Linked DNA regions of Canis lupus familiaris. The protein of the gene in region 1 purifies or fractionates together with the protein of each later gene. This does not show direct contact. Links are inferred from orthologs where the notes say so. Each region holds a gene or a part of one and is shown on either strand. Other genes may lie near its edges.

What was found.
Region 2: the proteins of LYN (region 1) and PLCG2 purify together in Homo sapiens (affinity purification with western blotting; 3 studies listed by BioGRID, with this or other methods). This does not show direct contact. The link is inferred for Canis lupus familiaris from reciprocal best matches to the Homo sapiens genes LYN and PLCG2.
Region 3: the proteins of LYN (region 1) and ANKRD54 purify together in Homo sapiens (affinity purification with mass spectrometry; 3 studies listed by BioGRID and IntAct, with this or other methods). This does not show direct contact. The link is inferred for Canis lupus familiaris from reciprocal best matches to the Homo sapiens genes LYN and ANKRD54.

Annotation. Positions count from the first base shown.
Region 1 is NC_049250.1:7,826,480-7,836,318, forward strand, and holds the start of LYN (tyrosine-protein kinase Lyn), read left to right. Parts: upstream 1-4,471; 5' UTR 4,472-4,553; intron 4,554-9,839. UniProt on the Homo sapiens protein: Non-receptor tyrosine-protein kinase that transmits signals from cell surface receptors and plays an important role in the regulation of innate and adaptive immune responses, hematopoiesis, responses to growth factors and cytokines, integrin signaling, but also responses to DNA damage and genotoxic agents.
Region 2 is NC_049226.1:70,668,691-70,677,981, forward strand, and holds part of PLCG2 (1-phosphatidylinositol 4,5-bisphosphate phosphodiesterase gamma-2), read right to left. Parts: intron 8,133-9,291; coding exon 8,047-8,132; intron 6,833-8,046; coding exon 6,712-6,832; intron 6,384-6,711; coding exon 6,215-6,383; intron 4,645-6,214; coding exon 4,540-4,644; intron 3,577-4,539; coding exon 3,487-3,576; intron 2,906-3,486; coding exon 2,730-2,905; intron 1,123-2,729; coding exon 922-1,122; intron 10-921; coding exon 1-9. UniProt on the Homo sapiens protein: The production of the second messenger molecules diacylglycerol (DAG) and inositol 1,4,5-trisphosphate (IP3) is mediated by activated phosphatidylinositol-specific phospholipase C enzymes. It is a crucial enzyme in transmembrane signaling.
Region 3 is NC_049231.1:27,790,487-27,800,557, reverse strand, and holds the start of ANKRD54 (ankyrin repeat domain-containing protein 54), read right to left. Parts: upstream 5,711-10,071; 5' UTR 5,658-5,710; coding exon 5,336-5,657; intron 3,750-5,335; coding exon 3,702-3,749; intron 1-3,701. UniProt on the Homo sapiens protein: Plays an important role in regulating intracellular signaling events associated with erythroid terminal differentiation.

The DNA.
Region 1 (9,839 bases):
GGTCATTCTCATCAGTCTTGTCATTGCCACGACATACATATGACCATGGAGATTGTATTGAAGGAAAATTTTCTTGAAGTCAGGCATTTTGTTTTCTTACCACACTGTGGATATCGGGTTGTTCTTATGCACAGTTGATTCTCATTATTTGTGATAATAACAATCTATAAAGTAGCCACAGACAATGAATTAGCTAATACTAAACCACTGTTTCTGGGAGGAAGACAGGGTTCAGTTGCTGAGAGCCTCTGGCCATTGCATGCTCATCAACTGATGGATAAATGACCTTGTTTTGAGTGCTTCTGTTGAGAGACAGCTTATTTAATATATAGTGTTGACTTGCTCACCTTGAACTCACAGCCAACAGTATCATAACTCATGCCTGAATAAAGCTTCTCTAACACATGGATTTTCTCCATAAGGTACATCACAGCCTTCTTGTGCTCAGGAACACTAGACAGTACTGTGCCCAAGGGCCATTTTACACAGTGAAATCACCAACAAAAAGCACAAAAATGCAAAAAACATGGCACTAAACAAAATCACCAAAGGACACTGGTTTATGGTACAAGAGCTTAAACAAGAAGGCAGAACTTCACCTTATTTGACCTCTGCTGGGAACGTCTGCATGAGGAGACAGAGGTTGTCACTGCTATGCTCAGGTCCATGCATGGCTATGAAAGTACTGTGAGTATGGATGTGGGGGTTACACTTAAATTTTAGTGAGTCCGTGAATTTGCAGATAATGGAATTGAGAGGATATACATAGCTGGTGCCATTTCCACTACTTCCTCCTCTTGTCCTGCCCAGTCATACCCCCACCTTCTCCAAAAGTCTGCTTCCCCTGCCAAGAGGGATCTTTGTTGATTTGCAGTCTGCTTCTGATCATTCATCTGTGTTCAATTCCCAACTGAAAATACCCTTGACGCAACTCAGTCCATCAGTCACTGACCCAACCAGTAGTCATCAAGTATTTTAAAGCCCCTAATAGAACTTTTTTGTTTAAAGATTTTATTTTTAAGCAATCTCTACACCCAGTGTAGGGCTCGAACTCATAACCCCGAGAACAACGGTCGCATGCTCTACCGACTGAGCCAGCCAGGCACCCCCTAAAGTACCTAATAGAATTTTTGACAAGTGCAGTGGGAAAGAGACAAATACAAGAAGCAATGGCTTCCAAAGAGGGGTTTGCTATTTATCAGCAGTTGAGGACAGAAAGCTACCCTGTGAAACAAAGGCAACCATGTTGGACAGGAGCTAAGTCTAGTTTACCAAGAATGTCGCACACTGCCAAGTGCTCTAGATATCTAGAAAACAACGATTCCCATGGAGTCTTTAAATAAAGCTTTTCCAAAACATGGAACTTTCATGGCACTTATGGAAAACAAATATAGAGGGTGAGTGAGGAAGTATTCAGTATATATGAATGCAACCTGAGAAGTGGGAATGAACATTGATTTTCCCCAAAAAAGTAAGAATAAAGAGACAAACTTAGGCAGGATGCTTGTATGTAAGGGGCCAGACGTGGTTAGAGCTGAGTGCAAGCCTAGCTCTGCCTGATGATGCTTTGTTCCTTGTTCCATCAGACATTTTACCAAAAAACACTGACAGGACATTCCAGATGGATTAACCAACACTAAACATCTTGCATCCCAGTCACATGCCTTTTGCCAGGATCTCAAGGACTTGTTGGTAATAGTAGCTATTTTAATTTAGGGCCAATATACTTGAAAGGTCATCCTGAAGAAAGGTCCAGAAAATGGACTCTCAGGTAGTGAATTATTCCATAGGACCCATGACAGATTCCACTCATTCATCCACTACCTTCCAACAGGTAACCCATCCCTTCCTCTTCAGCAGGAAACTAAGCGGCTACATACTAGTGAACGTCACAGGTATAAACCATCCTACTTCTTGTTTTTTGAGGCAGCAGATTGCAAACCTTGGCTGTCTGTTACCAGTAATAAACTACTGCTGTATAGGATTATGTTAAGGTGGCCACTCGACCGCGGGACCGTGGCTGTAGCCTCAAGGGGAGCTAGCCTCCTGAAAATGTTATTAATAACCCACACTTATAATAACCAAAGTAAGAATATACAGTGGGGAAAAGACAATCCCTTCAATAGATTGTGCTGGGAGAAAGAAATGGTTATATGCAAAAGAATGAAATTGGTCCACTTTCTTACATCATACACAAAAATAAACTCAAAATGAATTAAAGACCTAAACTGTAAGACCTGAAACTATAAGAGTCCTAGTAGAAAACAGAGACAGTAAACTTGGAGCTCAGCTAGAGCCATCTTTCTAGACGTGTCGCCTGAGGCAAGGGAAATAAAACCAAAAGTCAATTATTGGGACTACACCAAAATAAAAAGCTTCTGCACGGCAAAGGAAATATTTTAATGAAAAGGCAACCTCCTGAATGGGAGAAGATATTTGGAAATGATATATCTGATTCAAAACACAACTCAATGCCAAAAAAACGAAAATGATCCGATTAACAAACGAGCAGGGGACCTGAACAAATAGCTTGCCAAAGAAGACATACAGATGGCCAACAGACACATGAAAAGATGCTCAACTTCACTTATCTTCAGGGAAATACAAATTAAAATCCCAATGGGACAGCACCCCACACCTGTTAGAATGACTATAATTTAAAAAAGGGCAAAAAATAACAAGGGTTGGTGAGGATGTGGAGAAAAAGGAATCCTTGTGCACTGTGGGTGGGGATGTAAATTGATGCAGCCCCTGTGGAAAACAGTATAGAGGTCCCTCAAAAAATTAAAAATAATATGTACATATATACACACACAATAGAACATTATTCAGTCATAAAAATAGAACGAGATCTTATCATTTGTGACAGGGATGGATCTAGAGGGCATTATGCTGATTGAAATAAGTCAGACAGAGAAAGACAAATATCATATGATTTCACTTATATGTGGACTCTAAAAAGCAAAACAAATGAACAAAGCAGAAACAGACCGCCAAACAACAGAGGGCAAACTGATGGTTGCCAGAGGGAATGGGGGTGGGAGGATGGGCAAAGGAGGCGCAGAGGAGTGGGAACTAAGAGGCTTCCAGTTACGGAATGAGTAAGTCAGGGGGATGAAAGGTACAGCACAGGGAACGCAGTCAATGGTATTACAAGAGCGTTGTGTGGAGACGGATGGCAGCTACACTAGTGAGCCCGGCATCAACGGACAGGCTGGTTGGATCACCATCAAGGTGACAGTGTAGATCAAGTATACCTTGATTTAAAAGATATTTTAAAAAGAAGAATCACAGAAAAAAGGAGAACATGTTAAAGGAAGGTAGTCAATCTAAAGCGGTTAGCACGATGCCCGGCACCCGATAGGCCCGGTGTGTTTGCTATTATTAATACAAAGACTGAATCTCCTCCAGGGCGCTGTTTATTTCCAGGGAAGTCCCACAGCGGACTGTAACGCTGGGAGCCCAGCGCATCTCGCTTAGAGCAAGGGGCCGCCGCTGTGACTGGGGCTAATATCATAACCTTGGGTACGTGTGCGGCATTTACTGGGGTTGGAGCCTGGGCTTGACAACCCACAAACATCGATTATGCGCTTGCTGTGTGCCAGGCAGTGCGCTCCACGCGAGGACGCGGACAGCAGCGGAGAACCGCGGCTGTGCGCTGGGCACGGAGCGAGCCCCTCGCGGGAGGCATTTATTCCTTCCTCCCAGTGACGCTGCGAGGTAGGCACCCTCATCTCCATCCTCCTGGGAGGAAATCGAAGTCGTGAGGCACTGAATGATTGGGCAGGCCGTTCTCCCCCGGCCTTACACCCTGAAAGTCCCCGTGTCCCCCGTGAAGGAGCTTACTCTGCACCCGCTACTAAGCGCTCCGCGAGACCCCGGCCTCCGCTCCGCACCGCATCCCCCTTCCCGAGCCCTCCAGATGTCGGGGATCCGAGCGCGCCCCGCCCCCGCTGCCAGGGGCTCCCGGTTCCCCAACACCTTACGGCGAATCGGTTGGAAAGGAAGCAAAGGAGGCGCGCGCGAGAGGCTCTGCCGCCGGGCTCCACGTCCGGGCTCCACGTCCGGGCTCCACGTCCAGGCCCCGGAGGATGCCCCCGGACGCTCCTTCCGCCCCCGCTACGGGAGGAGGTCGGACCCCGGCCGCTCCCCTCCGCGGAGCCGCACGCCGAGGCGAGGTTTCCCTGCCTTCAGGGCGCGCGCGACGGCCACACCGGAGACCCAAACCTTGGGCAGGGGCCAAGCGGTCACTTCCCCGCCTCCCGGCGCGGTATGCAAATCCGAGCACCAGGAAGTAGCTGGGACCTCTCGGCCGAGCCCAGCGACAGCCAGTTCCTCTCCCGCCGCTCGGGGCCGTCCGCCGCTCGCCCCCTGCCGTGGCGCCTCCGGGCCCCGCGCGCGCAGCCTCCGGGCCGCGACCCCGCGCCCCGCGCCCCGCGCCCGCAGCCTGCCCCGCGCCGGCCCCGCCGGGCCGCCCCGTCGCGCCCCCCGCCCTGCGCTCGAGTCACCGTGGAGCGCCGCCGCCGCCGCCCCGCAGCTTGCAGCCGGAGCTGGTGAGTGCCCGGCGCGGGCCCCGCCGTGAGGGCGCCAGATGCCTCCAGCCCGTGGGTGGCCGGGCCCTGGGGCGCGGGGGACGCTCCGCAGGTGTCTCCCCGCCGCGGCGCGCAGGGGGGCGGGGGGGCGCAGGGAGGGGCGCGGGGGAGGGGAGGCGCGGGGCGGGCGCGCCGGGGACCCGGGACTCCTCGGCTCGCGCGGTCGGGTCTCGCCGCGGGGCCCCGGGCTCCCCGAGGTGAGGGACGGGGCTCGGCCCGGGCTCCCCGCCAGGCCGGCGGGCGGCTGCGCTCCTCGGGAGCCCCGGGCGGAGCGTGAGGTCGGGGGGCTGCGGCCGAGGCTGGTGCGCGCCCTCCCGCTGAGCCCGGCGCCTCCCGGCCGGCGGAGGAGCAGTCCCGAGCCTCCCGCGGCCCAGAGGAAGCGAGAGTTATTTTAAGAATTCAGGGGTTGCCTTTCCTGCGCCCTGGGGGGAGGGCGTAGGCGTCAGTTCCCGCTTTCCTGCGTTATCTTGGCCACTGCGGCATCTCCTCCGAGCCGCGCATATATGTTCCCACTAATAGCTGACGTGGTCGTCTGGTTGTGTTTCCATTTCTCCGTGTATCCGTGTGTGTGTGTGTGTGTGTGTGTGTGTGAGAGAGAGAGAGAGAGAGAGAGAGAGAGAAGAGAATTATCACAAACCCACCCAACTTCTTTGCCAAAAACCCCAGTTGAATTTGGGCCTTCCAGTTTTCTAGCTGAGTGTCAACCTGGGCCTATTATTGAAATTACCTGTATGGGTTTTTTCGTCTCTGGGAGAACATATTTACCTTCTGAGCTATTTATTGCATGTAAAGCCCCGAGTGCGTACATAGGCATTTCATAAATGGCGCTGTTATTATTTATTGCAGATAATTCTTTTTTTTTTAATTTTTTAAAAATGTTTATTTATTTATGATAGTCACAGAGAGAGAGGCAGAGACACAGGCAGAGGGAGAAGCAGGCTCCATGCAGGGAGCCCGATGTGGGATTCGATCCCGGGTCTCCAGGATCGCGCCCTGGGCCAAAGGCAGGCGCCAAACCCCTGCGCCACCCAGGGATCCCTATTGCAGATAATTCTATCCGTTAAAACACGGTTCCCTGGTTCTTCACAATTTGTTGATTTTAAGTCTAAGACTACATGTCTGATTCAGCCAACTGACCTTCCTAGCTAGTAAAGCTGCTTAATAAATACACCAGAGGTCTGCTGTCTGCAAAGCTAGGGTCTGGGAGTCTCACGCTAAGCACTAGTTAATGATGTTTGACTTACTTCTGATTTGTTGGCTGCCCCCCAGGCTGGCTGCCTGCAGAGCTCAGGAGGGCAGGCCTGTTGTCCCCGTATCTTAAAAGCTAAAGCACTGCAGAGGGTAATAGGCACTGAAAGAGTATAGGAATTCCCTAAGTCCCCAGAAGCCCTTCCTAAGTAAAGTAAACTCTGCTGGAAAAGGGTGGGGTTCAGTTAGTCCTGAACTGAAGGTTTTCCTTTGAAGGTAAGGAGGTAAATGTCTTGAGGCTCTTGGTGACCTGGCTTCTTTGGATACAGAGTGAGGTAACTCTCTTCCTGAGCGAAGTGTAGAGGTCAGCCCATGTAAGGAAAGAAACAGGCTCTGGAAAACCCACGTTTGGGTCTCTCCCATCATTTACCAGAACTGTGATATGGACTAAGTTGGGTAAATGCCTTGGCCCTTTGATTCAGCTAACATTTCCTTCGGAGCAGTATTCAGTTATATTCTGATTCGTTTGCATGTAGAGTCCGTATTCACCACTGCAATGAAAGGTGGGTGAAAACGACTTTGTCTGTCTCGTCCAAAACACTAGCCCCAGTGCCTATCACAGTCCAGATTACTCGGAAGAGGGAGTGAAGTTTGGCTCTGAGTTTGGCTCTGTGCAAGGCCAAGGAACAAGGTGGTGGTTTCTAAAGCATTTGAACCTGGCCCTCTCTGTCCCGGTTTTTAAAACAGGGTTATTGTTGTTGTTGTTTAAGATTTTATTTATTCATGAGAGACACACAGGGAGCCTCTTGTGGGACTCGATCCTAGGACCTTGGGTTCACGACCTGAGCCAAAGGCAGATGCTCAGGTGAGCCACCCAGGTGCCCCTAAAACGGGGATTTTTGACTGTCAAGTTATCCCAGTGTCAGTGTTCTAAGTGGTAATCTCTACATAGGAAAGGTTATTGGGGTGTATCCCTGGGAGCAAGGGCTTGATTTGGAGTGATGTCATGTAGCCTGCAAAGGGAGTTTGCCCAATCAAAAAGACCCACTTTATCTTAGAGCTGTTGGTGTTGCCAAAATATGTGAAGACTTTGCAATACCCCTGCACCCCCAATGGCATTTTTTAGCAGAAAAGTGGTCCAGTTTTGTGAATCAGTGACTCTCTAAGCCCTTTAGTTTCTTTATATTTGTTTTAAAAATAAATCACCAGAACATGAGATACCAGTTGGTTCAAATGAATATATAGAGTTGTAAGTTAACAACATTAAGCTATACTATCCATAAACAAACCCATACAAATGTGAATTAGTATAAATAAGAACACAACAGTGTACATGTCTACAATAAGTATTGTTACATCTAGCTTACAATACTGATCTCAATGACCTCCACGTCCTCAGGCATGGATAATATTAACAGTGGAAGGTCACTACAGTCATTAGTTGGGACATTGACCGATGACACATTGATGACAATGGTGGTCTCACCTCTCTTGGGCTCTACCTGGCAATGACTGCTCACACCTTTCGCTTGTCAGAAGCTCTGAGCTCTGATTCCTGAGCTCTGATTTCATTTGAACCTCTCCTGGATCCCAGGGTAGGCAGGGACAGGTACAGAAAAAAGAGGTTTGGTGTCTAAGGTTACAGACCTGGTTAAGTGGCACTACTGGGCAGAGCAAGTGTGTTTTCTGCTCCAACTTTAGAACGTTCCCCACTTTTCTGCCTTTGCTCTGGTGGTAGGTACTCAATTACATAAAAGCAAAGAAATGATCACTTAATAAACATTATTAAATAGAGAACCACAGGGTAATTTTCTTCTATCACTTGATAATTGCACCATCAAGTAGGGCACTTAAGGCAAGCAAACTGAGGGAGATGGGTTTCTTTGCCTTTCAGTGTGCTTCCTGCTTGGGGAGGGGCTTCCTGCTTGGGAAGCTTTGGGAGGGGGTGGCTCTGATAACTGCCAGGGTGACACCTGTATTGGCTCTTGCCCAAGCGCTTCCAGTGACTGCCTTGGGAGCTATCAGGGCCTATTGGTTGATATAGAAGTGTGCAAGTAATACTTTACCAAAGGATTGCCTCCAGCCGCTGCTAGAAGTGTCTCCCATGAACCCTACAAGCCTCCTTGGGTGGTTGTTATAACAGTGAGAGCATCATTTGAGGTGAAAACATAACGTAGGGAGACAGGGCCCATAAGATACTCGTTAAAGCATGCACTCCTTTACTGAGCACCTGTGATGGGCCAGGCACCCTTCAAAGCCCACACTTCTACAATGGACACACATTGCCTACCATCTTTAAAGATTGGTGGTGAACAGAAGGGCATAGAAGAGGAAGTTTCTTTTTTTTTTTTTTTTCCAGTCAGAACTATTGAAAGATTTCTTACACCTGCCCAGTTTCCTGATACTTAAATTGTGAAATGTTGAGTTGACTCTATCATCATTTCTGAAATTTATTTTGAGTAAGTTCCCATTTAGGGGAGAAGCCCAAGTGTAGGAAATGTGTGGGAATCTGCCCGTTGAGGAATTAGAATTTTTGGAACAGCCCCATTTAAAGACTTGGACCTTCTTTTGGATGTCTTTGTTTACGTTAGCTGGAAGGGCTGTCATGTAATTTAGAATAGCAAGTTCAGATGATGACTTGAGATGAGGTGTTAGAAAGGTACGTCTATGCCGATCAGTTGCAGGGCCCAATAATATAGCCTTTATTTTTTGTTCTTAGACTTTCTCTTCAATCTAGTTCTCTGCTTCACTTTCTTTAGTACTTAGTAAGCTGTCAATGTTCATTATTTGCCACAAAGCTATTTCTTGGAAGTTCTATTTACCATCAGGATGTAGTTTCGTTTGTATAGAACTTTTCCAAAAGGTTGATTGTTTGACTGTCTTTATGAACAGTCACATAGTCCCAAGTCTCTCTTCTCTGGCCCAACCTCTCACAAGGTCCACAAATCATGAGTTGCCGTGATAGGAGCTGAACATTTATGGGAAGAGATTACTGATTCATGTCATGGTAACTGTTCATTTTTCATGATTCTGACTTATATAAATGATGTTTCATCAAAATATATGAATGAGGAAACCTTATAGAATCCATCTGAGGGTGTATTTCTTAATGCTATAGGCTCTGCCCCCATTGGGTTGTAGAACACTGGGCAGCAGTCTCCATTCTCGTAGCTTAGAGGGTCTTTTATTATTTTTTATTATTTTAAAATTTTTTATTTATTTATTCATGAGAGATACAGAGAGAGAAGCAGTGACATAGGTAGAAGGACAAGCAGGCTCCTGGCAGGGACCCCAGTGCGGAACTCGATCCCAGGACCCTGGGATCACGACCTGAGCCGAAGGCAGATGCTCAACCACTGAGCCATCCAGGGACCCTGAGAGGGTCTTTTAATTCTGTTTCATCTCCTTTTTACAGTTCACACCTCACACAAGTCAAATAATGCTGAGTCTGCACACATGGCTGCCTTTCTGTGAACATCTAAACTCACTCTGTTGATCCCAAGCCATGCTGATTGAAAGCTCTTTGCCAACACACCTCTCCAGGCCTCCTTCCTCTGTCTATTGGTACAACATCTGGTTGGGGAGCTGTCATGAGTTCCTTGGGCCTAATTTTTAGTGCTGGAGAGAATACACAGTGAGACTGGAGAGAGGGGTTTGCATTCATTCTACCTCCAACTAAAGCAATGTCGTTTTGTTGGCTTTGGAGCCTTCTGGGTGCCCCTGGTCTTCCTGTAAATGTTAACCCCCACAGGGGTGAGGGGAACAGAGACGCTCATCTCAGAGAGACCCTCTGGAGAGGGAGGACCACTTCTGCTTTCCACGGGGAAGCTGTGTCACAGAGAGCAGAACTGTAGCCGGTGACCTGACAGGAGGCCAGAGGGAGGGGGCTGGCAAGGAAGTGATACTTCCTCCTGCTTCGAAGGCCCCAGACCCAGTCATTTGCCTGCAGCCCCGCCTTCCTTACTACTCAACACAGCTTTTTCCTCTGGCTTCTTTCTACCACCTTCTGCTCTGTTCATTTTCAGTTTGCCCCTGAAAGAGGAGGAGGAGGTAAGGGAG
Region 2 (9,291 bases), on another chromosome or scaffold:
TAGTACCACCTGCAGCCCAAAGAGGACAGCCAGGTGAGAGGGCCACCCAGGGAGGAGGAAGCCCTGGGCTCTGATGCTGCCTGGAAGGGGGTCCCAGAAACCACTGTGGAAATTACACAGAGGGCCTCCCCACCCCAAAACACCATTCAAGACAGCAATTTTTTAAAAGACCACCAAGATGTAGCTCAGCTAAAGCATTCACATAGTGGGTCTTCTGGGAGCATGAGAGACTGTACCCCATCCCCTGCCCCCATCCACCTAACTTAGGGCCAGCATCAGTCACTGTGGAGAGTCTCAGAAAATCGGTGGCAGAGAACACAGAGAATAGTGTTTTGGGAAGGTCTTTTTGTTTGGCTCGTCCTTGGTTACTTTTAAAGATATGAAACAGCAAATTTTAAAAGGCCATCTGTACGAATACAGACGAAAGTAAGAAAGCTGCTGGAAGCTACAAGGCTTGTCAGAAATGCACATTTTAGCAGCCTTCTGCTTAAACATAGTTTCCCCCTCTTATTTCCAGAGTTGGTTAGCCCCTTGCAAGGCATAACTTGTATACATTTTACTCGATAACAAAATGAAGGGGAAATCTGCACAGTGACTTTCTTCTTGTTCACTTTCACAACGAACAGGAATGAGCCTCGACAAGCAGAAAGTTCTCACCGGCCAACACTCCCCTTTGAAAATCAAAGCCAAGAGTGCAGGACGGTGACGGTAAAGTAGAAGAAAGGCAGGGGGAGGCAGAGGGCAAGAGAAAGTAGAGCAGGTGCTTGGGGACTGGCCGTCCAGGGGGCTGAAGAGATCCCAGGGGACCCACAAGGCTGGCTTTTCTGATGGGTGAACACAGCCCGTGGGGGTGTCTGCACCCCCTAAACCCGTGGGGTCAGTGCCTGAGGTCGGCGGCCCCGAGAGCACGGGCACACGTACGGCTTGGACTCGTGGGGGTTGGGGTTGGGCACAGGGTCGGTGAGCCGCAGCTCGAACTCGGCGCAGCGCAGGTGGGTCTCGCGGTAGTGCTGGATGAGGGCGTAGATGCTGGTGAACATGACGTTGTCAGTCAGGAAGTACTTCATGGTGCCCCCCTCCACGGTGGAACGGATCCGGCAGTGCTGGACGCGGCCGGACCGCCTGGAGGGAGAGACGACATGAGCCCCCAGGCCGGGCCCCCTGGCCCTCCCCGCACCAGGGTGGGGGTGGGGGTGGGGGTGGGGGTGGTGGGTGGCCAGATTTGCAGCCAGGGCCATGACGGGTAGGCACCGTGTGTGGCCCCAAAGCCCTCCCTCTGCTCTTAGAACAGGCTCGGGCTTTGGCACAGGCTGGTCCTTTAACATGGATTCCAGAACATTCTACCTACCTCCCCCACCTACATTCACTTTCATAACTCCTACTCTGGAGCCAGATGGCCTAGGGGTAAATCCTGACGCGGCCCTTTATGTGCTGAATGACCCTGAACCAAGCGGCCTGTCCTCTCCGGGCCTCCACATTATCATCTTTGCGGTCCGTCCCCACTGAGCTGTCCTGAGGACTGATCACACACAAAATGTGCCTAGAATGCCGCCTGGCACGTGGCAAGCATCCTGTAGGTGTTAGCTGTCAGTGTTTTATAGCCGTAGCCGTATGCTGTTATAATGTTATAATCTTCAGTCTTCATTTATTTTTTTTTAAAGATTTATTTATTTATTTATGATAGAGAGAGGCAGGAACACAGGCAGAGAGAGAAGCAGGCTCCATGCCGGGAGCCCGATGCCGGACTCGATCCTGGGACCCCAGGATCGCGCCCTGGGCCAAAGGCAGGCGCCAAACCGCTGAGCCACCCAGGGATCCCCTCCAGTCTTCATTTAAACACCACTTCTTACAGGAAGTCTTCCCTGATCACTGCCGCCCTTGACGTTACCTTCCCTCTCTTACGGACTTCTAGAACGTCCACCACTTTTCTCACTGCACTTATCACAGCTACAATTATAGATCATTGATTCCTTTTTCACTATCTCCCTGACCAGACTTAATCTCCATCAGGACATCCCGTCTGTCTGATTCCTGCACCCAGCACAGAGCAATCACTCAACCAACACCCTTTAATGAATGGGGGCGCCTGAGTGGCTCAGGGGTTGAGCGTCTGCCTTTGGCTCAGGTGGTAATCCTGGGGTCCTGGGATCGAGTCCTGCATCAGGCTCCATGCAGGGAGCCTACTCCTCCCTCTGCCTATATCTCTGCCTCTCTCTCTGTGTCTCTTATGAATAAATACATTTTTTAAATCTTAAAAAAAAAAAACCTTTTAATGAATGAAGGTACTAAGTGAGTGAGTGAGGAAGCTCAAGACAGCTCCATAAAGCCACCTTTAGAATCTCTATTTTAGGGACAAGGAAATGGAGATTTCAAGAGGTTCAGTGACTTACCCAGGGGCAGCCACCTGCTCTAGTGAGGGGGTGGGGGTGTGAGTGAGGCCACATTGTCTTTAGTGCAGAGTTAGATCCTGTCTTTATTTAAAACATTGATGATAAGGTCTTCATCGTGGATTTTTCACTACCTCTAATTTTTAAAAAATATTGCATTGAAATATCACTAATCTTGATTGCTGCTAAGTTTTTCGAGCCTCACCAGCCTTGGCCCACCCCACCCTGCACGGATCCCTCAGTGAAGTCTGGGGTTCGGGTCTAGGCCTGAGCTCGATCACACAACCTGCCACATAGGCCCCCCACCCGGCCAGCTGCGAGGGGAAGGTGGCATGCCCCTACCAGAAGGACAGGGTGTAGTCATTGGGGAAGGTCTTGCTCTCCCGCACAAGGAAAGTCCCATCCTTGCCCCCGGTCTCTGCACAGTATTCCTGCAGCAGCTTCTCGGCACTCGTCCTCTTCTCTACTTTCTTGTGGAACCACTCCTCCCCAAAATGCAGCTCCGTGGGGGGTGTGTCCTGGGCCCCAAAGAGACGAGGAGTTTGTAAAAACCTACCCCCCCAGCATGGCCAGACTGGTCTCTCTGTGCATGCTGGCTTCGGGGGCTGAACAGCAGACAGGCTGGATTCACCTTGCCCTCACCCCAAGAGGTCTAGAGAGATGGCTTCCACTGCCCTCCCTTGCCTGCCACCACTGGTGGTGGTGTCCTCCTGAAGCCCGAAGACATGGGCTAAGAGGTCCCGGGTACAGGTTTTGACTCTATTGCACAAGGAGTCTGAGAGCCATAATGCCCTGAGGGCTGCACTCAAGAAATAGTACCAAGGACGGCCAGCAGCCCCAGAGGAGAGGGCAGGGAAGTGGGGAAGCCGGCTGGCCAGAGCATCCACATGTCCTCCCCTCTCACCCAGAGCACAGGCCAAGCAGGCCCTTCAGAGAGCAGGAAAGCCCCCCCAAAGCTCACTGGTTGGTCAGCCAGCCAATCAGAGAAGAGCTGGCTCAAGCCAGGCAGACACTGGTACCCAAAGAGGAAGCTCTTTGGGCTGAGGATGTCTGGCCCATGGGCCATGGGAAAGAGCACGGGTTAGGAGGTCTCCCCTACCTGGGGCAGCTCCTCTTCTGCAGTCTGCTCAATGTCATCGCTGAAAGACAGTTTGGCATCGGCGATGGCACAGTAGTGCCGAGTCCATTTCTAGAAAGGGAACCCAGCATCAGCTCTCCCCTCAGCCTTTGCCCTCAACACCACTGGGGCCAGGAGCCCTGCCTGGCATCACCCCAGCATTTACGAGGGATGCTCCTTTCCCACTTTCGTAGAGTTTATGGTGGTTTCATGGAATTCAATTCCCTTCAAGACGTTTCCTCTAAATATCTATTTTTGGGTTCTTTTGGCATTTTCAGGACTTTTCTTATTCAGTGTGTCTAAGGGTAGATACAACTAAGTATCAAATTTCTAGTTCATATTTATTTAATTTGAAGCCTTTTATGAAGGAGGGCAATGTTTTTGGGGTTTCATGACTGTCTTTTTCTATTACATCTGCGTTTTAGGACTTTCAGGATTTCCCAACCAGTTTGTCTCGAGACTCTTCAACATCTGTGACTTAATTCTTTAAACATTAATAATTTTCATTATTTCTAGGATGTCAGAATAGAGATTTCAAAATAGACCTAAATGGATTTGTATGTTACGTTAAGGGATGTGAGAAGTGGCACTAGCACTCAAAATGCATTCCTCTCACCAAAATAAGGTTTTGTACCTAGACTGAAAGGTACTAAGGACTTAGAACAATCAGATGCACTCTCCCATCCTGGACTGAACCTTGGGCCAGAAAAAGGACATCAGAGGACAAACTGGTAAGGTCCATGGATCACCTGGTAGTATTGCTCCAAAGTTCATTTCCAGTAATTACACTCTGGTTGTTACGTTTATGTTATGTTATGTTAGTGTTTGGGGAAGCTGAGTGAAGGCCATATAAAAAAATCTGTTGTGTGTATGTGTAAATGTGTAGTATGCTATGTGGAATAGAAAATTATTTCAAAGTAAACTATTAATGATACAAAAAAAAGGTCAAAACGGGAGTGAGAGGAATATTCTCAGAATTCTCTAGTAGGTCTCAGATGCGCTCGAGGCTCTGAGAAGGGGTGCAAGGAGACCCACCTGGTCGATGGAATCCCACATATACAGTTCACCCTGTTGCTTGTGCTCATCTTTCTTGTCCTCCATGTTGACATCCACGTCCCCTCGGGGACCCAGCTTCTTATGCTGAGGGGAAAAAATACACATAGCCTGTCTCCTTAAGACCCAAGTTTAGGATCTTTGAGCTAGCAAGCATTCATCCACATCAGCCAGCCAGCCAGCATCTACCCACAGCATCCACCTCAGGGCCTTTGCACTGCCTGTTCTCTCCACCTGCCTTCTCTCTCACAACATTCAGCTCTGTGCTCAGTGTCCCCTCCTCCAGTGAGCTCTCCCCAACTACTTGGTCTAAAAAGAGCCCCCACCTCCCTTCCTATCCCTGTCACTCTCTCATCCCTGAGAGTTATTTTCCATACTCTTGGCCCTTTGTGTATCTATGTCTGGGTCTTCTGTCTTCCCTGCCACAAAATATAGGCCCCATGAGGACAGGACTTTGTGTCGTCCCCTGCTGAATCTCCTCTGGTAGCTTGGCAGATAGTAAGTGCTCAGTAAATATTCAGTGGATCAGTGATACCGCCTGCACGTCCCACATTCTCTGGCACACAGAGGGAAAGGCAAGAATAGCCAGTCTGGCAGCCCAGACTGCAGGGCTGTGGACTGCGCACAGGATATGCAGATTAAAGCTGCTTTATCAGCTCGGTGACCCTAGGCAGGTGGTTATACTTCTCTGACTCTCATAGTTCTCATCTTTAAGACTAAGACAGCGACCACAACAACCTTCATCCAGATGCGTACTGACGCCCACCCTGGCAAGTATTTATAAACATTGGTTCTGGGGGGGCACCTGGGTGGCTCAGTGGTTGAGCATCTACCTTCGGCTCAGGTCATGATCCCAGGGTCCTGGGATCAAGTCCCACATCAGGCTCCCAGCAGGCCTGCTTCTCCCTCTCCCTCTCTCTCTCTTTGTGTTTCTCATGAATAAATAAATAAAATATTAAAAAAAAAAAAAAGATAAGAGGATACCAGGTCCCCTGATAGCCTTGTGAGACAGAGCTCAGACCGTCTAGAACACTTGAAGAAATGACCTCTTCTATGCTCTCAGTCACTGTATATCTGGTCTCTTTGTCCTAGTAATACAGATCCCCAGACCTCACCCCCCTTCCCAGCATCCCTGGCACTCTCAGGCATGGCTGATCCTTCATCTCTCCCCACAGCACTTGGCATGCACCTCCTCCTTCATCCCATTAAGCACACACAACCTTTTGGGGCAACTGTCCACCTCCAGTCCATGCCCATCTCACACAGTGGACTGGGGGCTCCTGAGGGCCAGAGGGGAGCCCGGGTCAATGGCACACCCCCAGCAGAGACCTGACTTAGACCAGAGCATGTTGGAGGTTTGCCTAAAGAATCAACGAATGACAGTTAATAGTTACAGAGCACCTGCTACGGGACAGATGCAATCCTAAGCATTTTGCACACATTTTTTCACATTATGCTCACAGCCAATGAGGCAGGCTCTACTATTAACCTCCCAAGACCAGTGAGGACACAGAGGTACCTAGAGGTTAAATGACCTTGCCCAGGGTCGCTCAGGGAGTTAGTAAGGAGAGCTGGTGTTAGTTCATGTGGTGGAACCAGGAGCCTGTGCTCTGAGCCACTGGCTCTCCTGAATGTCAGGCCATCCAAGACCACCCACCTTGATGATGATCTTCTCCCGCAACTGGCTGGGCGAGGGCAGCTGGTCAGCACTGGCCTCCGTGGGCTTCGTCAGCAGCTGGTCGCCAAACACCTCCTTGAACACCCTGGCCATGTGGCGCTGCTGCTCCACGCAACAGTGCTCCTCGATGGACAGGATCACGGGGAAGCTGTGTGCAGGAGGAGCCAGCTCAGCTCAGCGGGAAGGAGGGCAGAGGTCACTGGTTTCCCAGCACCAGCCTCCTCCAGGCTCCAGAACCAGGGAGGGACTTGCGCTTTTGGCCTGTAGGGGGCGCCAACACTCAGCTGAAGACTTGTTGGGAGTGAACCAGAGGATGGAGGCCAGGCAGGTAGGGGTGTGTGTGTGTATGTGTGTGTGTGTGAGAGAGAGCGACAGACAGACAGACAGACAGACAGACAGACACACGGGGATGAGGGGCGTCTGTGTCTGTCCACCTTTCCCTTAAAGACAAACCACCAGGAAATCAGCCAACCAACCTTGAAGTGACAAAGGCATGGTCTTTGATGGCCTGCACGACGTCGTCAAACTTTATCTTGGTGGTCCGTGTCCAGCCGTGGTAGATGATGGGCTTCCCATCGGGCCCGTCCCAGCAGTCCACTGAGGAAAGAAACGTGTAGTCTCGACATCTGGCCATCACTCTGCACCTCGAGAGTCCAGTGACGGCAGTCACGCTGCTGGTGGGTGTCTGTGAGCTTGGCCCTGACCCCCACATGGCTCAGTTACTAGGACATGGGGCCCACACCCAATAATTATCTTCAGGGGCCAGAAACACGAGGGTCCGCATTACTTATGAACAACCATTACTTGTGCGGTGACAGGAAGGCTCTGGTTGCTTATTTAAAGGTCCCCAATACATCTGTCCAAAAGAAACTAGTTTCAATGTTTCCTTTTTTTAAAAGACATTTATAATGTAGGATTTTTTTTCTGATTTCACTTGGCTTGCTTTTTCCGCTAGTGGAAATAACACAGAGCAATGAGATATTTATTTTTTAAAGTTCATAGTAAAATATTCAAACAGAACTAGATTATGTAGAAGGTGAACATCCCCTCTATTTTCAGCCCCCAGAGGTAACAAGAGCTGACAGTTTCAAACTTAATTTTTTCACATTTGCTTTCTCCTGGAGGAGGGCCCATACACTAGGCAACCATCCACAGGAATAAGTGCTATTAAAGTTGATGCCATGATGAATGTGTTCGATAGAACTGGAGCCCACATCAGGCCTCTGTGCCTTTTCTCAGCCCAGTACACCTGCAGGCCTTCGGTGGCACAGTCAGGCCAGGAGGGTGAGGGGTGGGACGGAAGGAAGCAGCAGGCTTCTGAACATGTCCAAGGGCCTGGATCATCTGTGCCCAGGTGTCTCTGAGCAACTATGAATAGAACAGGCAGGGTGGCATCCATGGCTGGACCAGTGGCAAAAATCACAGAGAGCTCCTGCCTTCCTCTAAGAACAGCCCAAGTGAAGCTGAAGGAGGAAAGCAGTATAACAAAGCCATCTCTGGTACTGGTGTCCCAGCCCTGCCACGACATCGGGACATTCTCTAGATGCCCAAAATCGCTACTCAAGGGTTTCTGACTCCAACACGGCCAGGCTCGACACCACTCCTTGTCCTGGGGGGAAATCTTCTGGGGTAAGGTCCCTGGCCATTGGTGGCCACATCCCCCACTCCAGATGCTATGGGCACCTGGGTTCTCCTTTGGCCAGTCCCATGCATTCCCAGGACTCAGGCCTTTCAGACGAAAGCCTTGGGCAGCTACATGGTAGACCTCAATTCGCCATAAGCATCATCTCCACCAGGAAAATGGTACTCACACTCAATGCAGCGACAGCCCATCCGCAGGCAGCGAATGTACGCTTCTGTGGATGACTCACTCCGTAGCTGGTCACCGGTGAGGTACCTGAGGGAGAGAAGGCAGTGGCCATGTGTGCGGAGGTCGGCACCTTGGGGCATTTTGGGGAACTTCTCAGCCCAAGTGCCCAACATCTTGAATTCTTCCTGTCTAGAAAGATCTATGGTCAGGATCTGGGCCAGACATAAGTAATCATGTGGCCATACCAGTCATGAGCCTTAGGCTGAGGCCACAATCGCAGGATGTGGTTGGTCAGCAGCCACCTTGGCAATCCAAGGGAAAGATCGAGACTCAAGACTGCATAATCTTTGGAGGAGAATTCGGTCAAAGGGTATCAGGAGTGAATCAGATATATGATAATTAATGATCCTACCCGCCCCATGGTGTCCACTAGGCTCTCAGTCCAACGATGGGCCACCATTTTGGTGTCAGGGCCCCACGGGTCTTGAACTCACTACTTTGAACTATGTCTACCAAAACGGACATATAAATGCGTATTTGTATACACCCTTCTCCTCTTCACATCTGTAGCCTCTCCTTTTAAGAATTCATGTTCCTTCATTGTCCTCTGGATTTGCTAGAAGTCAGCTCTCTAAGCCAATGGACATGGCGGGAAACAGAGAACCATGCAACCAATTTGCCCCTGAAAAAGACGTGACCTTCTAAAATGCCTTCACTCTGACTCCTGCCTGTGGTGACACTTGGGAAGGTAGCAATATGCTGCTCTCCAGATGCCCAGGCCAAGACTTACACCTTCTCGTCTTACAAACAGACTAAATATGGGAAACCTGAGTGCAACATCCACTTCTCTCCTCTCCTGTCACTCATCATCCTGGATTCTACAGTCTGATCTTAACAGATCCCTCTCAGTTCCTCCTGCCCCTGGACCTTTGCACATGCTGTTCCTCCTTGCCGCACCACCTGTTCTTCTCTCATCAACTCCTATTCATCCTTGAATCAAAGGGAGACTTCTGGGGTGCCTAGGTGGCCTACCTGGCTGGGTGTACGACTCTTGATTTTAGCCCATGATCTTGGGGTCCTGAGATTGGGCCCTGCATGGAGCTCCATGGTCAGCGGGGAGTCTGCTTGTCTCCCTCTCCCTCTGCCCCTCCCTCAGCTCTAGTACTTGCCCTCTCACTCTCTCTCTAAAATAGATGAATAAATCTTTAAAATAAAACAAAAAAATAAAGGAGGACTTTTCCCCTCC
Region 3 (10,071 bases), on another chromosome or scaffold:
CGGGCCAAAGGCAGGCGCCAAACCACTGCACCACCCAGGGATCCCAAGCTGTGCCATTTTAAAGCATGGGAGCTGTACGCCGAGCAGCTACCTGGCACCAGGCACCTGTCTGCTATGCCCCTCGACAACCCGGCCAGGTGTCGTGTCCATTTAGCAAACCAGGAGAAGAGTCCTGGTCTGTAGAGTGGTACACTCACCCAGCTACCAGGAGGCAAAGCTGTGATGTAAACCCAGGCTTCTCTGGCTTCTCCGGCTCCAGAACTTACAAGAAATACATAACTTTGGTTTTTCTGGAGGTTTTGTTTCAGAAATGCTATCACTTTCTTTCTCTCCAATTATATTGTAGATTTTTTGGTTTTATCTTACTTAATACCTAGGACCTGGGTGGCTCACCAATTTGGCGCCTGCCTTCAGCCCAGGGTGTGATCCTGGAGTCCCAGGATCGAGTCCCACGTCAGGCTCCCTGCAAGGAGCCTGCTTCTCCCTCTGCCTGTGTCTCTGCCTCTCTCTCTCTCTCTCTGTCTCTCATGAATAAATAAATAAAATCTTAAAAAAAATAATACCTAGGACCATGATCGAATTTGTTCAGCTCCATGAACATTATTGACTAATTGAAGAAATGAATGAAGGTGATAGGAAAAGGTTTATGAGAGTCGAAGAGAAAGAAGAGTTTCCAGTCAGCTCAGGACATTCACCAAAAGACAACCATACCAAAGAGATAAGATAAAACTAAGAGTCAGTTCTCTTTCATGATTTGTACAGTTACAGTCTTATTGGAAAGCACTAGAAGCAGCATCTGGCAGAAGTCATCGAAATATGCATATCTTTTGATGGGATAACCCCATACACCTGGTTAATTATCTTAACAGTGAAAAACTTGGGCTCGGTGGGTGAAGCAGGTTAAGTGGGTTAAGCGTCTGACTCTTGATTTCGACTCAAGTCATGATCTAAGGTCCCTGAGATCGAGTCTTGTATCGGGCTCTGTGCTGAGCATGCAACCTGCTTAAGATTCTCTCTCTCCCTCTTCTTCTGTCCCTCCCCCACCCCAAAAAGAAAAATCATTCTGCAAATATATGACTAACTCTCACTTTGTTCCTCTGAAGACAGTGGGCAACCATTACAAATTGTGATTATAACTGGAGAATGGAATTATGAGATGATTTCTGCTTTTTACCTTATAAGCTTCAAAAAGTCATATAGTCATGTATTTATTCTGTAAGTAAGGAAAAAAAGAGGTTTCCATTTTGAAAAAAAACGAATGGTTACAAAGACTATGAAAAGTTATATGGGCTACAAAATTGTGTATCCGGCACAGTTTGCAAGTCCATAAAGAAAATTTCTCTGTATAGGAAAAAGGATAAGGATAGTCACCAATATATATACAGAAATTAGTTCCTTTGCTGATTATGGATGTTTTTCTTGCATATTTCTCTCATCTTCCAAACATTTTAAGTGTGTATGATTTTCATATATATGAAAATATATTATGATTTAACAATAGCAAAACATCAGTTTTATGTCCACTATAATTGCTGAACACACCAAAACCCCAACAAATGTGTAACAAAGGAAAAGGAAATGCAAACCATAACAGAAAAGGAGTAAAGAGGCTAACCCTACAGCCAAGGTCACCGTCAGCAAAAGCCTGATCATTCTGACAGCCATTTAGATATGAACGTGGGTGTGTTAGAGACTCTGACTGGAACATTACAGTATTTCTATCAAAACACTGAAACCACCATGTGAGTACTTGATTCAAGATGAACTAGGCTTTCTGTGCAAGGGAAGTATAATTCAAACAATCTCTGGCCACACACAAGAGGTATTAAAAAGAGAACACTTATCGTTTTTCCTTGAAAAAAAAAAAAAAAGCTATCTAGGTTGCTGCTCAAATATTCGAAAATGTTAAAGTTCATGGAAAAAAGACCAAAGTGAAAAGAGTTAGCCCTCCAGCTGCCAGGCCTGCTCACCATGCTACACCAGGGGTAAGGGAACCATCTTGAGGCCCACAGTTTAACACCCAGCCCCCTGAGGTAAACGACTTCCTGTCTGTGCTGGCTGTAAATGGGCTCTCTGATCCCATGGCCCTCAAGCGATGCTCACAACTTCTCTGTTGACCACAGCACAGCACCACCAAAACAGAATGATGGCCACTTGAGGCAGGTAGGATCACAGCCCCCAAGATGTCCATGCCCTAATCCTCAGTTTATTGAATAGGTTACCTTATGCAGCAAAGAAGACTTTGCAGATGTGAATAAGGTTAGGCACCTGAACTAGGAAGATTATTCTGGATTATTTAGGATAATCACACTAATCGCATAAGTACTTAAATCATAGTCCCTTTCCCTGCTGTGTGAGCCAGAGAGACAGCGGTGTGAGGACTCAGTCCATTGTTGCTGACTCTGAAGATGGAGGGAGAAGACTATGAGCCAAGGAATGTGGGTAACCCCTAGAAACTAGAGAAGGCAGGGAAACAGAGTCTCCCCTAGAGCTTCCAGAAAGAAATGCAGCCTGGCTGACACCTGACGTTCAGCATGGTGAGACCTGTGTTGGATTTCTGACCTCCAAAATTATGTGCTAAGAAATCTGTGCTATTAGGGATCCCTGGGTGGCGCAGCGGTTTGGCGCCTGCCTTTGGCCCAGGGCGCGATCCTGGAGACCCGGGATCGAATTCCACGTCGGGCTCCCGGTGCATGGAGCCTGCTTCTCCCTCTGCCTATGTCTCTGCCTCTCTCTCTCTCTCTCTCTATCATAAATTTAAAAAAAATTTTTTTTTAAATTAAAAAAAAAAGAAATCTGTGCTATTAAAAAAATAATACAAATTCTTCAAAAAGAAATTTGGGTTGTTTTAAACCAGCATGTTTGTGGTAATTTGTTGCAGCAGACATAGAAAACTAATATATGGATATGATGAGAAGCTTTCCCCTAGGACTTGTCCTTGTACCTCTGATGCTGCTACTCCCATCAGCCAATGGACACTGGAGAGCAACCATGCACACAAAAAAAAACCAGGGTGGTGTCCTGCTAGGAGCCCCTCTCATTCCATTTGGGTGTTCCGTCAACTAAACAAGTTTGAGAACCATTGACCCAACTACTGCAAAGCCTCAGTGAGCATTGAAGGTGGTGGTTCTGTTCGGGTGGTGGCTCTTCTGGCAGTTAAAGTTGACTGTTCGTTCCCATTAACCAAAACTTCTAAAAAGCTCCTACCCTGCTGCTCGGTGCCAGAGATACAAAAGCAGACATGGTCCCCACATCAGGGAGCCCACAGACTGAAAAACACTATGACATCAGGAAGTTCAGAGTGACAGGGAAGCATGGGAAGAGTGAGCATCTGAGCAAGACTAATGGGACACCTGGGTGGCTCAGTGGTTTAGCGCCTGCCTTTGGCTCAGAGCCTGATCCCAGGATCAGGGATCAAGTCCCACATTGGGCTCCCTGCAAGGAGCCTGCTTCTCCCTCTGCCTATGTCTCTGCCTCTCTCTCTGTGTCTCTCATGAATAAATAAATAAATCTTAAAAAAAAATAAGCCAGACTTATCTCTTGTAAGATGAATACAGTTACATGATATATATAGTGAGCCTAGTCCAGGGTGTGAGCTGGCATACTGAATTCAAGCACTGTCTTCCCAGGAATTGGTTGCCTGGATTTTTCTTTTCTTTTCCTAACCAGCCGGTGGGGCCAGACCTGCTTTGCACACTCACCTGTTTCCACGTCATTGGCATTGGCTGAGTCCCTCAGCCTCTTCAGAGCTGTGAAGAGAGCAAGAGAGCTCCAGTTAAAAACAAAATAAAACAGGAGCACCTGGGTGGCTCAGTGGTTGAGTGTCTTCTTTCAGCTCAGGACGTGATCCCCAGGTCCTGGGATGGAGTCCCATATGGGGCTCCCCGCAGGGAGCCTGCTTCTCCCTCTGCCTGTGTCCCTGCCTCTCTCTCTGTGTGTCTCTCATGAATAAATAAATAAAATCTAAAAAAATAAATAAAACAGTCATGATGAAGCAGAGAGTGGATGGCTTCCTAGTTGATCCACCATTCACCCACAAGAACATCTAAAGGGAAGGAAAGGCACCAGGATACAAGAGACGCTACCCTGGGAACAAGAAAAACTTGAAATGTATCACAGCTACACAGTGCAAAAAGCCACTTTCTGTAGCAAATCCTTCAAGGTCTTTGGAGCCAGATCTTGGCTCTGGCACTTAAAGTAGCTGGGTGACCTTGAGCAAGTTAGTTAAACCTCCTGGGCCTCAGGTTTATCATCTGGGAAAAAAAAAAAAAAAAAAAAAAAAAGGTTGAGCCCTATCCTGACAGCCCCAAGTTGTTGCAATTATATTCTCCAAAAGAGGCCATTCCCAAATAACTGAGTTAAATTTGGTAATTCCGAAGCAGAAACGCTTTTCTCCTATAAGGACGCTACCTCTGTATTAGAGAACAATGCCTTTGTCATCGGAGGGATGGTCAAAATTGCAAGCAGATACATTTAATGATTCCTTACTTCTGTATAGCCCTTTATGCTTTACACAGCACGTTCAAATTTTCATTTAATCTTAACAGCATGACTTAGATAAGGGTGGAATCACAGATAGTCCTAGAAGGGACACTAACATTTCCATTCTTAAATCTTTCAAGGCATTGGTTTCCGCGTCATCCCCAAATGTAAAAGACAATAGAGCCCACACACGAGCAGGAGTTTGACCTGGCCCATGTGGGTTGATGCCAGCACAGCCACTTTCTAGCTACCGGGGGTTGGAGCAAGGCAATCTCTCCGAGCCTCAGTTTCCTCTTCCATATAATGGGAACAGTATCTGGATCTCACTGAGTTACTGTGAGGACTGGAAATGAACACATGCCGGCCCAACAGTGTTTGGCACACCACCAAAGCAGGATAACCTGTACTGATTCACCCCCTGACTTAACTCCGGCAACATCCCCGTAAAGCAAGTATTGTAGTGGTTTACACACGGAAAAACTAAGGCTGGAAGTTTCTATAGTTTGCCTAAGGCTTCGAGGTAGAGGAGTCCAATCCCAGTCCGTGCAGTTAAAGGAGTTGCCGGAGCTTGGCCACAGGCTCCGGCCTCCCCCCCTCTTTGACGCTAAAAGCGTTCGCCCCAACACCCCCCCCCCCGCCCTTCTTTTTTTAATCTACTAAGAAACGCCTGGAGTCCTGAAAAGTTTCTGTTCAGGAATCCCCGAGCGCTTAAAGGCCGTCCCCTCCAGGTTCGCGGTCCTCGGTGCTCGCGGTCGGCGCGGGCCCGGAGCTCAGCCGTCCGCGGACCCGGTCGCGAGCGGCCGCGGCAGTCGGGGCCCCCGGGGTCCCGCCGCGGTCCCGCCGCGCTGCTCACCGTGCACCTCCTTGCCCGTGGGCCCGAGCCGCCGGTGGGGCCTGGCGCGCCTCAGCCGCCCGGCGGGGATCTTACGGCGCAGCTCGTCGCGGGGCTCCGCGTCCTGCTGCCACAGGACGTGGAGGTAGCGCAGCGGGGACTGCGCCCCGCCGGACGCCCGGCCCGAGAGGCCCGCGCCGCCGCCCAGCGCCGACCCGAAGTCTGCGAAGGAGAAGAGGCCCTCGCGGCCCGTCAGCGGCTCCGGCGCCACGGCGCACTCGCCGTCCGAGCTCGAGCGGCCCGAGCGCGGCTCGTCGTCCGCGCCCCCGTCGGCGGCTGCCATGGCAACGGCTCTGCGCGGGCCTGGCCGCGGGAGCCTCGTTCCGGGCCGACCAACCGACCCGCTTCCTCCGCCCTAAGCCTCGCTGTCAGCGGGCGAGCGGGCGGGCCGGGCCCGCAACCACGGCAACCGGGAGGGGGCGGGCTCCCGCCGCCAACAGCCAATCGGGCGTGGTTCGGGCGAGAGAATTGGTTTCCGGCGGCGTAATTGACGGACAGAACAACCAATCGCAAATATTAACCGCCCACGCCCTCACCGTACGTCGCCACCGGAGCCAATAAAACAGCTGAGTTTAGGACACTTTTTTTCTCTCTCTCTCTCTCTCTCTCTCTTTTTTTTTTTTTTTAAACTCTCACCAACTTCCCGAAAGATAACGGGCAGATGCTTTAACCAATCACCTCAGGGGAGCTGCAGCCAATCACTGAGGAAAGCGAAGAAGCCGCCCTCCAGGGATAAACAGGGCTACATTTTAAATCGCGAACGAAAGAGGGGGGTCTTCCCGGTGGAAGTGCGTAGTGTAAGAAAGTAAGAATGTGTCAACGTTTGGGGCTCTTCCGCAAAGGGGGGAGTAATAGCTTCTGAAGCGGAACGATCCCTTTGGTGAGGGTTCCAGTCACTGACTTACGAAGAATTTTAATTCAACGTGACTGCCCCACAGCGACGCCGCAGTCGGCGAGCCGGTCACCGAGCCAGGAACCGTGTGTCCAGGGCGCAGGCTCAGCCCCGCCGCCCGCGCCGCCCGCGGTGATGCGCACAGCCCACGGGACACGCAGGGGCTCCGCGCGGCGGACCGGCCCCGCGACCCCTCTCACCACCCGGCCGCCCAGCAGGACGTCCATACGCTGGACGAGGAGCGGGAGGAGCGGACGCCGGACACCAGCGACTTGCGTGCGGATGCCGCGCGCCCCGGACCACGGCCTGGGTCCAGGCGAAAGTTCTTCCTTCTCCCTCAACCCACTAAAAATGTAATCTTTCCCCTGACAGTTGAAAAACACCTTCAGAATTTGCGGTGCTCTCGGAACACCACCGTGAGGTTTCTCGTGATACTGTGTGGAGAAAAGCGCTGTTTTATTTGATCTCTGCCCCACGTATGCCTACTCCCCTTGTGGTTACAAGGAAACCGAGGAAAGAAATGAACACCGAACACGCATCGCTTACCAACTGCTTGATGTATTTTATATGATTTCTCCCTCACAAGAACCTTAGCAGGTAGATGTTATTATACCCACTTTGCTCATCAGGAAATTGAGGTCTGGAGATGTTATATGAACCCATGTACAGGATTAGAAAGAACTGGGATTTGAGCCCCTCAAAGTCCTCTCTTTCCACCATACTGTTTTCTTTAATGAAGAGCCTGCTGGGAACCTAGTTCCAGAAAGCTTAAGGGACATCTGGGTGTTTATACCTTACTCCTGCTGAATGTATCTGGAAATAACTTTATTATTCATTCCGTGTAATAACCTCCAAAGTTGTCTTCATCCCTCCAGCCTCTCTTTGTAGAATTCAAGGTGCATATGCTGGCTAAGGTACAATTCTTTTTGTGTCTGTAGGATCTGCCTACCCAGGTTAAAGTGCAAACCCGTTATTCTAGCAGTCAGCCGTTGTCTTCCGCCTACTAGTGGGTCCGGTCTTCGAGCAATCTGGTCAACTAAATATGTGTACATGTCACAATCTTTTCATTTGAACAGACTCTCTAAACATTTGGAGTTAATTGTTACTTCCCATTTTAAAAACCAACTTTGTTGGCGTATTAATTATATAGCCCAACCTTCCAGTGTGTTTCAGGAACCACTTGTTATTTTGGATTAGAAGAATGGGATGTGTGTTGAATGTGAATCAAGTTATGCTAAAGGCTTTAGACTGGAACTTGAGCTGTATTCCCCAAAATGCCTGGCTCAGCAATGGGCACCACTGCATTGTAACTATTTGGCTGACTGACCCATTGACTGACTGAATGAGAAAGGATAGTATACCCCAGTGGTTAAAACCATCAACTTTAGAGGCTTAAGAATGTGGGGCTATGGCTTCAAGCAATGACTTTACCTTTCTGAGCCTCAGTGGAGGTATTAGTAGGACCTATATCATGTGGTTATCACAAGACTAAGTGATATGCTGTGAGTAAAGCACAGAGCTTGGCCCAGAGTTAGTGCTCAAAAAATGGTAACTATTGCCATTATTATAATAAATAAGGATAGGGGATCCCTGGGTGGCGCAGCGGTTTAGCGCCTGCCTTTGGCCCAGGGCGCGGTCCTGGAGACCCGGGATCGAATCCCACGTGGGGCTCCCGGTGCATGGAGCCTGCTTCTCCCTCTGCCTGTGTCTCTGCCTCTCTCTCTCTCTCTCTGTGTGTGTGTGACTATCATAAATAAATTTAAAAAAATTTATAAATAAGGATAGGATGCAAGCTATGGCCCATGCAGATCCTATGCAACATTAGGCCCATCACACTGGCTTGAACTTGACCTATGACCTATGAACTTGACCTTGAACTTGACAATCATTCATACTAGTCCTTTTTATTCAGCTAATCAGCAAATAAAATATGGAGTACTTGGTGGGAGACAAAGAAAATGCCTATAATGCTTGCCTTGTGGGAAAAGCTTCCACCTGGGAATCCAGGACTTGGGCTCTAAGTCCCGTCTGGACCAAACTCACCTCCTGATTTGGAGTTAAGTGTTTCCTTTCTTTAGGCCTCAGTCTTGTCTTCCTGTAGGAAGGTATTATTCTAGGTCAGATATTGACACCGGCTCAGTTCCAGATTCAGTAGGACTTTCCTTTCATTTTTCTCTCATTACGTTGGCCTGCACAGTATTTTAGAGCAATCTGAACTGAATGCCAACATTTAAAAATGGAGAACTTTTATGAACATTAAAAAAAAAATCTCCAGATTCTTTTTCTTTTTCTTTTTTTAAGATTTTATTTATTTATTCGTGAGAGACACAGGCAGAGAGAGAAGCAGGCTCCATGCAAGGAGCCTGACGTGGGACTCAATCCCAGGTCTCCAAGATCATGCCCTGGGCCACTGGGGCTGCCCAAATCTTCAGATTCTTTTAAAAACGGGAGATATAGCAACACAGGACCAGCCCTCCCACATGGCACATGGGTGCCTGCAGACAACTCTCCCCTTTAGATGGGATATAGTATTGTGGTTTGCCACAGTCCCCACCACTCCCTCCTGAGCCTTATAGGCAGTTGCCATTTATTGCCATACTTCTGCTGTTGTTTTTCTTAGGCAGAGCTAATAGGAAATTAATATATTTCTTGTCTTCATTAAATGTGGAATAACAGCAACGAATGTGGAGGGAAATGATCTAGTATCTGAAAATATGTCATATGGTGATTGCATGCCTTTTTAATAGCATGCTAGAGAATTGCTTGTAAACCCACATAAGAGCCATCTGACTCTCTAGGGAAATCTAACTTTGACAGCAATTGATTAGCATCCAGTGACGTTTTCCAACTCTGTAAAGTTAGAAGTTAGCTTGTAGGAAACTGATAAGATGCAATAATTTTTGCACGTCTGATGAAGAAAATAATCCCAAAGATTATAGTTTTATTATCCCATAGGGCATGAAGTATGATTAGCAATTATAATTCAGTATTCCTTTTTTATACATATTTTTAAGATTTTACTTATTTATTCATGAGAGACACACAGAGGCAGAGACATAGGCAGAGGGAGAAGCAGGCTCCCCCTAGGGAGCCCGATGTGGGACTCAATCCCAGGACCCCGGGAGACCACCTGAGCCAAAGGCACTCAACCACTGAGCCACCCAAGTGTATTCTTTAACTCTTCAAATTCTTTCCAAACCAGCTCTGTCATATTGTTGGTTCCTTCATTAGCAAATAAATAACCTTCCTCTTTATTGTATGAGAATTGTATCTTTAATTTCTTAAGGGTATTAATCTTTTGTCATTGTGTAAGTTCCAAAATTGTTTTGGTTATTTGTTATGTTATTGTTAATTATAATTTAAAAATCACATTTATTGAGATATGAATTACCTATAGTAAAATTCCCACATTTGAAGTGCGCAAGGTTGATGATTTTTGACAAATGTATATACTTAGGTTAACAACCACCCCAGTCAAGATAGAGAACATGACAATGTTATATATATATATATAAACAATTAGAGAGTTGCTCTTTTAGGCTAGAAAGGGCCCTGTGTTTTCAGAAAAGAAAATAATTATTGAGGTACCTGGGTGGCTCAGTTTGTTAAAGGTCTGACTCTTGATTTCAGCTCATGTTGTGATCTCAGGGTCCTGGGATCAAGCCCCATGTCAAAGTCGGCTTGGGGATTCTCTCTCCCTCTCCCTCTGCCCCTCCCTCTCACTCATGCTCTTTCTCTCTGAAATAAATAAATAAATCTTTTTAAAAAGTTATTATTTAGGGCAGCCCGGGTGGCTCAGCAGTTT